Linked DNA regions of Kluyveromyces lactis. The protein of the gene in region 3 interacts with the protein of the main gene of each other region in a pairwise test. Links are inferred from orthologs where the notes say so. Each region holds a gene or a part of one and is shown on either strand. Other genes may lie near its edges. The genes, in order: NVJ2, ABP1 and RVS167.

Region 1 (4,120 bases), on a different chromosome or scaffold from region 3:
TGGGTCTCGGGGATAGACACTGTGAAAATATCCTTTTGGATGTCTTGACAGGAAGAGTCTTGCATGTTGATTTTGACTGTCTTTTCGAGAAGGGTAAAAAGCTTCCTGTTCCAGAAATTGTTCCATTCAGATTGACGCAAAATATTACTGACGCATTTGGTATTATTGGAACGGAGGGTACTTTCAAAAAGTCAAGTGAAGTTACTCTAAGAGTCATGAGAAACAATGAAATAGGTCTTGTAAACATAATTGAAACTATTATGTATGACAGGAAAATCGATGAGTCAATACAAAACGCCCTTAAAGTTCTTCGAGACAAAATTAGAGGCATTGATGCCCGTGATGGACTGGCTTTGAGTGTTAGTGGGCAAGTGGAAGCTCTCACTCAAGAATCATGTTCGGTGGAAAATCTAAGTAAAATGTATATCGGTTGGTTGCCTTTTTGGTAATTATTCCTTAAAATCTATGTTACAATTTTCTACAAAGTTTCTAGCGTGGAGGCAATGGAGGAGGAGGGCGTTTTTTCCGAACCTGTGCGTTGATTTCCGGGATCATGTTCTCTGCTTCCTCGAGAATATCTGAAGATGTGATGGAATGCGGATTCAGGTTTTCATTATTTGTAAATGAGTAGCTCATCTCATGTCTCCTATAAACATCTGGAGATGTCGGGGAGTAAGACCCAGATGTTGACCTGGCTCTTGTTCTGTTAACAAACATCTCGGCACGATGAGACTCTGAAGTGTGATGTGAAGTCTCTTGTTTTGAATTATCAATGGATGAATTTTTGCTTCTAGGAACTCTTCTATTGGTTATCATTTCTGGAGTTGTTGGCTTTTCAGTTGTTTTAAAAGATGTCTCTACTTTCAAAGAAGATGCAGCATCAGGAATTGAAGCTTCGTTCTCTAGTAATTCAGATTTTTCGGCTACTTTAGTACTAATGACCCCAACTTGGTCTTCTGTACCCTCTGGTTCATCTGGATGATGAAGTTCTTCGTCACTATTCAACGATTCTTTCACAGTGACTACTTGCTCTTTATACCATCTTCCGATCTTTTTCATACCTGTTTGCAAGTACCTTTTGGTTGCGTTTGAGTTTGTTGAATCAACTGAAGACCTAGATCTTATAGATACATTTGAATCATCGTTACTTTTATTTTTCAGGAATGATCGAGTACTATCCGTAGACGTTTGTGGCTGATCTGTGTTGTACGATTCGTTAATGGTGCTTTCACTTTCTTCGACGGTTGGTGAGTCAACAGCAGAGTTAGTCGACTGCCGTTCGGCTAAGTTGGTGTTCGATATGTCATTGTTCTCGCGAACAGAAGACCCTGTGTTAAATTGTCGCTCACTTTTGATATATTCAAAGTCTTCGGTATAACTTGTATCCTTTTTTTGTTTCGTTGATTCCCAGATACCTCCTCTGTACAATTCAGATGGCGTTTTGTAAAATACCATATCATCCATGTAAGGTAACACAATTGATTCTTTAATTGCTTCTTTGAATTTGGATTTAATCATATTAGTTACCATGTTGTTAGACAACTGCCTAGTACTAACCACCGGTTCGACATCGATGTCCAATAATGGTTCAGTTTGGAACGCATACCAAAGCCTGTTTGTTGGAGGTGGCTTGATGAGAATTACTATTGGACCCTCCACTTTTTTAACGGTAATGGAAAGCTTTATATCCATTTCTCGCTTTTTGAACCTTGAACCAAGGTTGATATTCATCTTAGTAGCTATAATCAAATGCAAATGTCCGGTGTACAAAAAATCAAAGGAAACCCTTGTTTGTCCTTCTGGAGTTAAATCAAGAAGTTTTGGATTTGATATCACTGGGGCACTATTCCCCACGGTAACTTTCTCTATACTGAAATCATCCAATAATCCCGGTTTATTGATTTTCTTCAACTTCTTATAGATCCGTTCTCTTACTGCATTAGACAACGTTTCTGTTTGTTGTAATGATAAGAAAAGTCTCCCAATGAGTGCATTGAACCACTGGGAAGAATGCTGCCCTTCAGTAGAGTTCAAAGTCTGTATCAAATAAAGCATATCCTTAGTCTTGAAATGAGCAGTTTGAGCAGCATATTCTGCAGAAAGAGCTTTCTCAACTTCGAAGTGAGAAGAGTTTACCGGACTTCTTGGACCTTTCTCCATCTTTGTAGCCTGTATCAAAGCGAAGTACCAATCTTCTTTATCTGTGTTTAAATCCAAGTATATGAAGAATTGATCTGAGGGACCACCTCTACGAAATTGAAGCCGATTAGACTGATCCATATATGCGGTATGTTTCTTCCAAATGGAGATGCATGTTTTCTTGGTAAACAAAGAACCATCTGGAATTGGTGTATCGTCTTGAGGAGAGACGGTTCGAGGCCATATTGAAATAAAGGCATCACTTAAAACAATAACTTGCTGCGGTCCTGCCTCAGGTGAGAAATCTTTATAAAGAAACAAATTGCCATGTTTCAAGACAGCGTAGAATTTGTCCTTCTTCTTCAACTTATCCCTAGTTCTTTGCTGCTCTGCTGACGGAGGTGTGGTGTTAGACTCTGCGTCATCAGTATTCTCAGTTTGGTTATCAAGATCAGTTTGATGAGGATAAAACTGCCTCGTAATATGAAGGTAACCCTGCTTCTTGGTAGCAACACCTTTCAATTCATTCAAATCACCTGCTTTGAAACTAGAATCCACATCAACGACCAGCTTATCGTTTTCTTCATTTTCGACATCTTTCTTGGGTGAACTAGTCAGATAGAACACTATAGCAATAGTAATCGGAATGAACGTTAAACCACCGAACACATATACAAAAATGAAACCAGCTAAAGATGTCATCTTTACTGAAGAATTGGTGCCCTGAACGATGGTGAGAGATTGGTTAATGTTGAATTTCGTTGACAATTGACTCTATACTTCCCCTTCTTTAACTTAATTTGATCGATATACAGCACCTTTGAAACGGGTTTTTGCTTTCTGAAATTTAAAAGGTAAATAGACCTTAACGTTAAAAGAAGTGACAAAGAGGCTTGAACAGAAGAGGATTAACATTTACACTTACGGTAGAGGACCAAGAGCTACTTAAGTTAGACTTATGGAAGATACTACCAGGAAATTTTTAACAAGAGTACGAGTATATGCTAAACAAGATGAATTTTTTATGATATATTCTTTCTAAATCAGAGTCATTAAATCAGTTTTTTCGTTTGTGTGTTCATTGAGATACAGTACTTAAACTGCACTCTTAGACAGTGTGAATATAAGAAAATCATCACGAAAAGAAGAATATAGTTTAGTCAGTTTTAGTTAACTTTTATTCGTTGGTAGGCATGCACATGAAAGGATCGCCTGTTTTAATAAAGAACAAGATGTTCTCTTTCATTGTGCATGGGGCATCAGCCGATGCCCGCCCGGTACCTCGCATAAAAAGAGTGCATGAGGAAAAAGTATCAACATCAGATATCTGGCGACCATTCATCAATTCTCCCGTCACCGACATCCTCAAAATTTTGTACACAGAGAACGCGACTACTGTTTCTAAAGAAAACAGTGATGATGGGATACTAAATATGTCCGCCCGGTCGAAAACAAAAGTCATCAGTTGTTGAACTTTTTTATTTCAATTACATGGAGCAACTCGTTGATGCAAAGAGAATGAAGGAAGTTGAACTCCCCGGATTATTTTCTGTTCAGAGGTCGTAACCCCTACCAGGGACTGATACAAGATTTCAGAAAGGCGTTCCAGCATTTCTTAAGTCTTATTTCATCTTAGGTGCTCATACAAGGCTGAAACTTAACGATAAAAAGAGATTGTCGACCCGTAGTTATACAACTATTCAGTCGGAACAACTGGTAATATTCTCACATTAATCACCGCAAACAGAAAATAAAAAGGGAAACAGAACACATATTTGTTCTCACTTTCTTCATTCGCTGTCCGCCTGGACAACAACTGCATTCAATCAGAGAAACTCCCACAATTTGAAAAGAAAGCCACAAAAGTTCTCCCATGCCATTCTCTACGTACACGGCTTCCTTGACCTAGCCCAATCAGGTCATGGTAAAGCGTCAGCTTTCCTCAGCTTCGCTTTGTCTTCTTTAATTAATAATGTAATAT
Region 2 (3,831 bases), on a different chromosome or scaffold from region 3:
TTATGGGGAGCACATTAACAATGTAAGGAAATATGTGTAATTCCATGAAAAGTCCCAATAATTTGAATGTTGAAAGCTCTTTGAACACGGTTAAGATTCTAAATTAGTTACGAATGCTTGCAAATGTTTTGGCTAACACCCACAATTTAGGAAGGTATCGCATAGACATAGTCACGTGATACAAATTCCACACATGTATTTTCTTATGAAACGACACTCAAATGGGCAACTGACCGTCAGTTAGCGACAATTGATTGTCCTTATACATAGCTTCGTTGTATAGTTTGTTTGAAAAGCCTTAATCCGTCCTCCCCCCCATTTTCTGTGATATTTTCTTGCCGAAATAGGATTCTAATGCTCCACTCAATATGCAACTTCGGTGATAACTGCTAAGTGACAAGTTTCGGACATTTTTATTTACATCTTGCGTCATAAAGGCCAAAGGAACGGGGAAAAGCCAATTTAACAGCTTCAAAATCGGATACAAGTTCTTTTTGCAGTGGAGAAAAAGTAGTAGATGGTTTCGAATAACCAAGTTCGTCTGTAACCCCACCATCGTCATCAGCCGCGGGGGAAAAGGAACCATCACCGGTAGAAATAAATTTGTTGCCATTACATATACGCCCATAAATCGATGAAGGCTTGTATTAAATCGTATTTTGACCATATATGATATTTACTCGATCTGAATCTTGTCCTTGGGTTCGATAATTTCTTGTATAATCTCGAAGAAGGCCTATTTTTCAAATAGTGCGTCAGTGAATACAAACCTGCCGGTATCGATATTATCGATTTCGGAGCTTGTCTACCAGTACCTTTCTCAGAGTTGCGATGGCATAGTTTCCTAACATGCATATATGAGAATCATGAACGTGGAAAGTCGTTCCGGGATCAGTTATTGTGGTAAGGCCCCCATCATTATAACCAATGTTTAACTCAACAGTGATTTCAGCATAAGGTCCGTTTCGTAGTGGAAAATAAGCTGAAATCTGGCCGGAGAATAATTAATAGAACATCGAGCAATTTGAAATTCTCACCGACAGTTAATTTCCTGTTCCAACAGAAACATCATCACAGCTTTATTCCAAAAAATAGTTATTGATTCCTTGATAAGAAAACTCTTCATAAAGCTAATAACAGTTTTGCAATATCGTTCTCTACTCTGACCGCTGTTCATGGTACTAAATATTACCCGGTTTCATGTCAACCGCTGTTTCTCTAAATGAAATCTGCACGAATTTCTCGAAACTAAAACCACAGTTCATATTCCGGGTAACCTATGAAATAAAATCTTGACAATTGTCTCCTATTCGCCATGAATGCAATATTTGAACTAGGTTAAATTATTAAACATGAATCAATCCACTGCTGTTTGGTGGAATGATTGTACCATCCTACCTTTATATATATTTAAACAAATATAGAAATATCTTAAGACAAGAATTCTGCAAAGTCAATTGAATTAGTGTGTGTTTTTGCCAATTTACCAGACAAATTTGAGGTGCATTACGTTCCTTTCTTGTTGTTATTGATCTTAAGTTATTATAGGGTTATCAGTCTGGCATAGCAATTACGATGGCATTTGAACCAATTGACACTACTACACACTCGCGTGCCATTGAGGCCGAGTACCTGAAGGTTGTGAAGGGTGATCCAGATACTACTTGGTTGATCATCTCGCCAAATTCTAAGAAACAATACGAACCTGAACTAGTCGGTACTTCTTTCAGCGAGTTTTTGCAAAGTTTCGATGATACCAAGGTTCAATACGGTTTAGCTCGTGTTTCTCCACCAGGTTCTGATGTTCAGAAGTTGATTTTAATTGGTTGGTGTCCAGATTCCGCTCCATTGAAAACCAGAGCTTCATTTGCTCAGAATTTCGGTGTGATCTCTAATCAAGTGTTTAAGACCTACCATGTTCAGGTTACCGCCAGAGATGAGGATGACTTAGATGAATCTGAATTGTTAATGAAAATCAGCAACTCCGCTGGTGCCCGTTATTCAATTCAACAACAAACACCGGCCTCCAAGAAGCCAATTTCCTCTGCTGCCAAGACAGCCAAGAAACCAGTCAGTGTTTCATCCAGACAATCTGAGCAAAAGGAACCTACACCATCGTTCCCATCAAGAAGATCCGTTTCTCCCCCAAAGACTGAGAAGAGCAGAGGTAAGAAGGACGATGAATGGGGTGAACCAGAGTTGGAAGAACGTGATTTCGACAAGAAACCACTAGAACCAAATTCTTCTTCCTGGAAACCAATTGGTAAAGTTGATCTACAAAAAGTGATTGCTGAAGAAAACAGTAAAGAAGATCCCCGTCTAGTTGTTTCGGGGCCTAATTACGACAAAAAGATTGATCCTCAATCTGAGATTGCTAAATTAAAGCAAGAATCCAAGCTAAAGAGGGATGCAGAATACAACAAAGTCTTGGGACCAAAGAGTTCTTCCTCAGCTCAATCATCAGGAAACGATAGCGACGATAAGGTGATCAAGGGTTTCAAGAATGAAAAGTCACCAGCTCAACTTTGGGCTGAAAAGAAGGGACAAAAGAAACCATCTAATTTAGAGAACAAGACCCAAAGAGAAGAGTTCTCAGATTCTAACGAAGAAGAAGAAGCTGAAGAAGAGATTGAAGAGGTCAGATCAAAATTTGAATCAATTAAAACTAAGGAAATTCCTATCATAAAACCAAGTGACTCTAGCAGATCTAGACCTCAAGCTTCTAAGATCAACTCATCTGACAGCTGGACCAAGAAACAGAACAAGTTTGGCCAACCACTACCAGGTCTGCATGATCAAAAGAAGGAACAAAACGATGACTGGAGTAGTGATGAGGAGGAACAAGAAGAAGAGGAAGAAACTCCAGCTCCTTCGTTGCCTGTGAGAAGAAATGTTCCTCCCCCACCCGAAAGCGATGAGGAGGAAGAGGAGGAGCAAGAGGAAGAGGAAGAGGAAGAGGAAGAGGAAGAGGAAGAAGCTCCTTCTCTACCAACTAGGAGAAATGTTCCACCCCCACCGGAAAGTGACGAGGACGAAGAAGATGATGATGAAAGAGCATTTTCTAAGTCTCAAAATACTCCTCCATCTCCAGCACCAAGAGCATCCAAACCTGGAAAGAAAGAATCCGGACCATCAGCTATTGCTGAATATGATTACGAAGCCGGCGAAGATAATGAATTGACTTTTGAAGAAAATGAAAGAATCATTAATATTCAATTTGTCGATGATGATTGGTGGTTGGGTGAACTTGAATCATCAGGTGAAAAGGGTCTATTCCCAAGTAATTACGTCAACTTAGAGGAATGATCCAATAAATTACCACTACTCTAACTTTATCATTGTTAATAAATGATGATGTTATAAGTTGGTGGGACTTTGAAATGAATATATCATGTATACTTTACAAGTAAATAATGTTAAAGAAATAAAGTACAAAAGTAAACTAAACAAAAGTCTACTTATTTGCCTTTTACAATTTCAAAGTTCATATCTACTACGCTCACTTCTTCTCCAGCATCGTCATCATAATCATACCATTCGTTTTCGTCGTCTTCAAACTGAAACTCCATTTCCTTCTTCGAAACTAGTTCAGCTACAAAAATAGTGTCAGCAGGTTCAAATTTAGTTACTTCACATCCTCTGCAGTCAAGCTCGAGCCAAACAGCTTTTTCCACAGGAACAGAACGTAAGCCAACCTTCTTTCTGTCCTTTTTACCCTGTTCAATCAATTCGAAATTAGATTCTTCATCTAAATTATATAAGTCTTCCTTAGTCCTGGTCAAGTTTATTGAACACTCATTGCCACAAAATTTACATTTCATCACGAACGAG
Region 3 (3,430 bases):
TATAGAGTTTAACGTAAGCATGGTGCCTCTTATCTTTGCCGGTGAAATTTCCGTTAAATATATTGGAATGCATTGAGCTGCGATGCCAACGGCTATACCAACGACCAGCCTACCGGTGACTAACATCTCGAAAGTGTAAGAAACTGCCATTAGCATCGATGAGGCAGCAAAAATGATGCAACAAACCGTTAACGTGTGTTTCCTACCGCATCTGTCAGCCAAGGGGAATGCTATTATCGATCCTATGAATGAACCAGCACATGTTATAGAAGTGATTATTTCCTTTTGCCAAATTTCCAAACTATGAAAGTTTAAATCCTTTGGATTCATTGCTATTAAAACCCCAGAAATTACACCAGTATCGTAACCGAAAAGCATCCCACCAATTGTCGAACTAACAAACATAATACCCGTCCTCCATGTGAATGGGTATGGTCGTTGTTCAATATCATTTGCAGTGGTGGTGGTCATCTGAGAGAAAGTGGAGTACAAATCCGAATACACATCTTCGACACTGCTATCTCGCTGCGGTGAGGAAGATCGTACAATATCGTCCACCATAATACGGTACCAGGTTAAGAGAATATATGCTGGATTTTGCTGTCCAACGGATTGTAAGAACGCCGCTCTATGAACAGATCGGTGGGATATTACAGCAAGTGTTTAAAGTTTGTAAATCTTTGTTCGAGCCTTGGAGTCAGAAAATGGTTTAAATCCCATTCGGTAATTTAAAGTGTCATTTACTATATTAAGACATTAAAATGAAAAGAGGACAAACAACATCTCCAATGACAGTAACTTCTCGAAACTACTTGTAATATCCATAACGAAACAACCGTTATGTAAAAATATACCTAACTTATATCCTACCAAGAATCTTGCTGCACTTTATGTACCTTGCTCCACAACTATTCTCAACCGAAGGGTACATTGACTATTAGCCTAGAGTCAGCAGGCCTAAAAAAAAACAAGGTCAAGCTTGCAGCATATTTGAGTGATACGCACTCAAATTACAACCAATAGGAGAACCAATGGGCGTTAATAACAGTATAGACCATCCCCTTAACTTTTCACAAGCCTACTGCTCAAATGCATTGGGCCAATTTCCGATGAACTAAGCCAAGCCTTTTTCCTTTCTGTACGCTTTTGCCGATGCACAATACAATTTCAAAAAAATTCAAACTTTGGACAATTTCAATTTCATCACTTTGGAAGGGCATGTAAAAGGGGCAAACTTGAAAGGCAACTGAAGCGGTATATATATCTAATCAGCGTGTCAACGAGTTGTCTGTTAGAGCAAATCTGAACTTAAATTAATCTTTCGAAGGACAAACAAGCGTCTTTGTCGAGGGAAAGAAAGTTAATTTATTATAAGGGCAAAGAGAGAGAGCACTCAAATAAAAAACACGAAGAACGTGAATTTAAACAGATAAAAAGCGTTAAGTTTTGAAGTTTAGAGCGTATACAGCGAATAAGAAAGCAAATAACAATCAATATATTTTCCCCCTAGAGAGTCATGTCGTTCAAAGGTTTTACAAAAGCTGTCGCCAGAGCACCCCAGTCTTTTAGGCAAAAACTGAACATGGGTCAGCAGACTGTTGATCCTGTTTATGAGGATGCTGATCGTCGTTTCAAGGAATTGGAATCGGAAACGAAGAAGTTGAGCGATGAGTCAAAGAGATATTTCAATGCCGTGAACGGTATGCTAGAGCATCAAATTGGATTTTCTAAGGCAATGTCGGAAATTTTCAAGCCAATTAGTGGTAAGATGTCCGATCCCAATGCCGCTGTGCCAGAAGACAATCCAGAAGGTATTGAAGCGAGTGAGCAGTACAGTGCAATTGTTTCTGAGTTGCAAGCTACTTTAAAGCCTGATCTAACTCTGATTGACGAGAAAATTGTTAAACCAGCACAAGAGCTTTTGAACATTATTAATTACATTAGAAAGATGTCCACCAAGAGAAACCATAAAAAGCTAGATTTGGATAGGAGCTTGAACACGTACAACAAATATGAACAAAAACAGAATCCAACGCCAAAGGATGAGGAGAAAAAATATAAAGCCGAGGCTCAAGTCGCCGTAATGCAACAAGAATACGACTACTACAACGATATGTTGAAAACTGAATTACCTATACTTTTCCAATTGGAATCAGAGTTCGTGAAACCATTATTTGTTTCATTCTACTACATGCAATTGAATATCTTCTACACCTTATACAACAGGTTCCAAGACATGAAGATCCCATACTTTGACCTGGATACTGACATCTTGGAGGCATTCCAAGCTAAAAGAGGCAACATTGAAGAGCAAACAGATGCACTAACCATTACTCATTTCAAGCTGGGATACTCGAAGGCCAAACTAGATTTAACCAGAAGAAGATATGGTGCTACTGACGACTCAAGTCCTGGAAGTCCAATGAGCCCACCCGCATACGGCCAAACATACGGTCAGCCTGAACAGCCACAACAGATGGGCTATGACTCAAAACTACAACAGCCGCAACAGCAACAACAGTATCCAATCGGAGGTGTTGCAGGTGCCGCTGGTATCGCAGGATACAATTCGGTGCCCACCACTGCGACCCAGGCATCATACACTCCTCCCACTAGTGCAGGAGTGGAGACATGTACCGCTTTATACGATTACACGGCCCAAGCCGAAGGTGATTTGACGTTCCCTGCTGGTGCCATAATCCAAGTCGTGGATCGTTCCGATGCAGCAGGATGGTGGGTCGGTGTCTACAATGGCGTCCAAGGTGTATTCCCTGGGAACTACGTCGAACTATCGAAACAATAATGAAAACAAAAGAAAACTAATCTCTTGGTCACTTTCCATTCCCTTTCTGCTGTGTATAGACTGAACTTGAAAAAAATAATAAAGCAAAAGAAAAGCTCTCCTAGCCTGTAGTTACTATATACTCTAACCTTGTTTAATTCAAGAATGCCCCATAGCTTTTAAAGGATACAGAATGCACATCACTATCGACGGAATTGACGATATTTGGTCACCTGGCAATAGTCAGACATTGCTTCATGGAGACGAAAGGGGTTCGTCAGAACCCCTGTCTACATGCCCCTATATTTCTACACATCACCAGTAGCAGAGCCAGCCACTAAAATCACACTGGTTTCCAAGCACACAGCAGGTAAGATGGAAAAGAATTCCATGAGAAAGTACACTAAGCCTTACTGCAGGAACAGAAAGAGATACGTCTCTATATATACTTAAAACCAGCTATGTATTTCAATGCAACAATTAGCTCCCACCATCACAACTGCTCCCACTGCAGTGCACACAACCAGAGCCTGAAAGCCCCCTCCCTTCAAAATACTTTGGATATCACTATCCCACTTCCTCCTTGCACGTCTCTTTCTAGAAGCCCTCTCGATCCTTTTTCAGTTTTTGGCTCATTTTTCATTGATG

The links.
Region 1: the proteins of RVS167 (region 3) and NVJ2 interact in binary tests that used the Saccharomyces cerevisiae proteins (3 or more experiments, as listed by UniProt). The link is inferred for Kluyveromyces lactis from reciprocal best matches to the Saccharomyces cerevisiae genes RVS167 and NVJ2.
Region 2: the proteins of RVS167 (region 3) and ABP1 interact in binary tests that used the Saccharomyces cerevisiae proteins (3 or more experiments, as listed by UniProt). The link is inferred for Kluyveromyces lactis from reciprocal best matches to the Saccharomyces cerevisiae genes RVS167 and ABP1.

What each region holds. Positions count from the first base shown.
Region 1 is NC_006039.1:1,364,209-1,368,328, reverse strand, and holds NVJ2 (Nvj2p), read right to left. Parts: upstream 2,842-4,120; coding exon 490-2,841; downstream 1-489. Other genes in the region: protein kinase MEC1, read left to right, coding at 1-449. UniProt on the Saccharomyces cerevisiae protein: During endoplasmic reticulum (ER) stress or when cellular ceramide levels increase, induces contacts between the ER and medial-Golgi complex to facilitate non-vesicular transport of ceramides from the ER to the Golgi complex where they are converted to complex sphingolipids, preventing toxic ceramide accumulation.
Region 2 is NC_006042.1:943,976-947,806, reverse strand, and holds ABP1 (Abp1p), read left to right. Parts: upstream 1-1,575; coding exon 1,576-3,306; downstream 3,307-3,831. Other genes in the region: KLLA0_F10198g (uncharacterized protein), read right to left, coding at 613-855; KLLA0_F10153g (uncharacterized protein), read right to left, coding at 3,459-3,831. UniProt on the Saccharomyces cerevisiae protein: Regulates ARP2/3 complex-mediated actin assembly. Recruits ARP2/3 complex to sides of preexisting actin filaments, which may promote nucleation or stabilization of filament branches. Binds to actin filaments, but not actin monomers.
Region 3 is NC_006041.1:280,027-283,456, forward strand, and holds RVS167 (amphiphysin), read left to right. Parts: upstream 1-1,516; coding exon 1,517-2,803; downstream 2,804-3,430. Other genes in the region: CIN10 (Cin10p), read right to left, coding at 1-561. UniProt on the Saccharomyces cerevisiae protein: Component of a cytoskeletal structure that is required for the formation of endocytic vesicles at the plasma membrane level.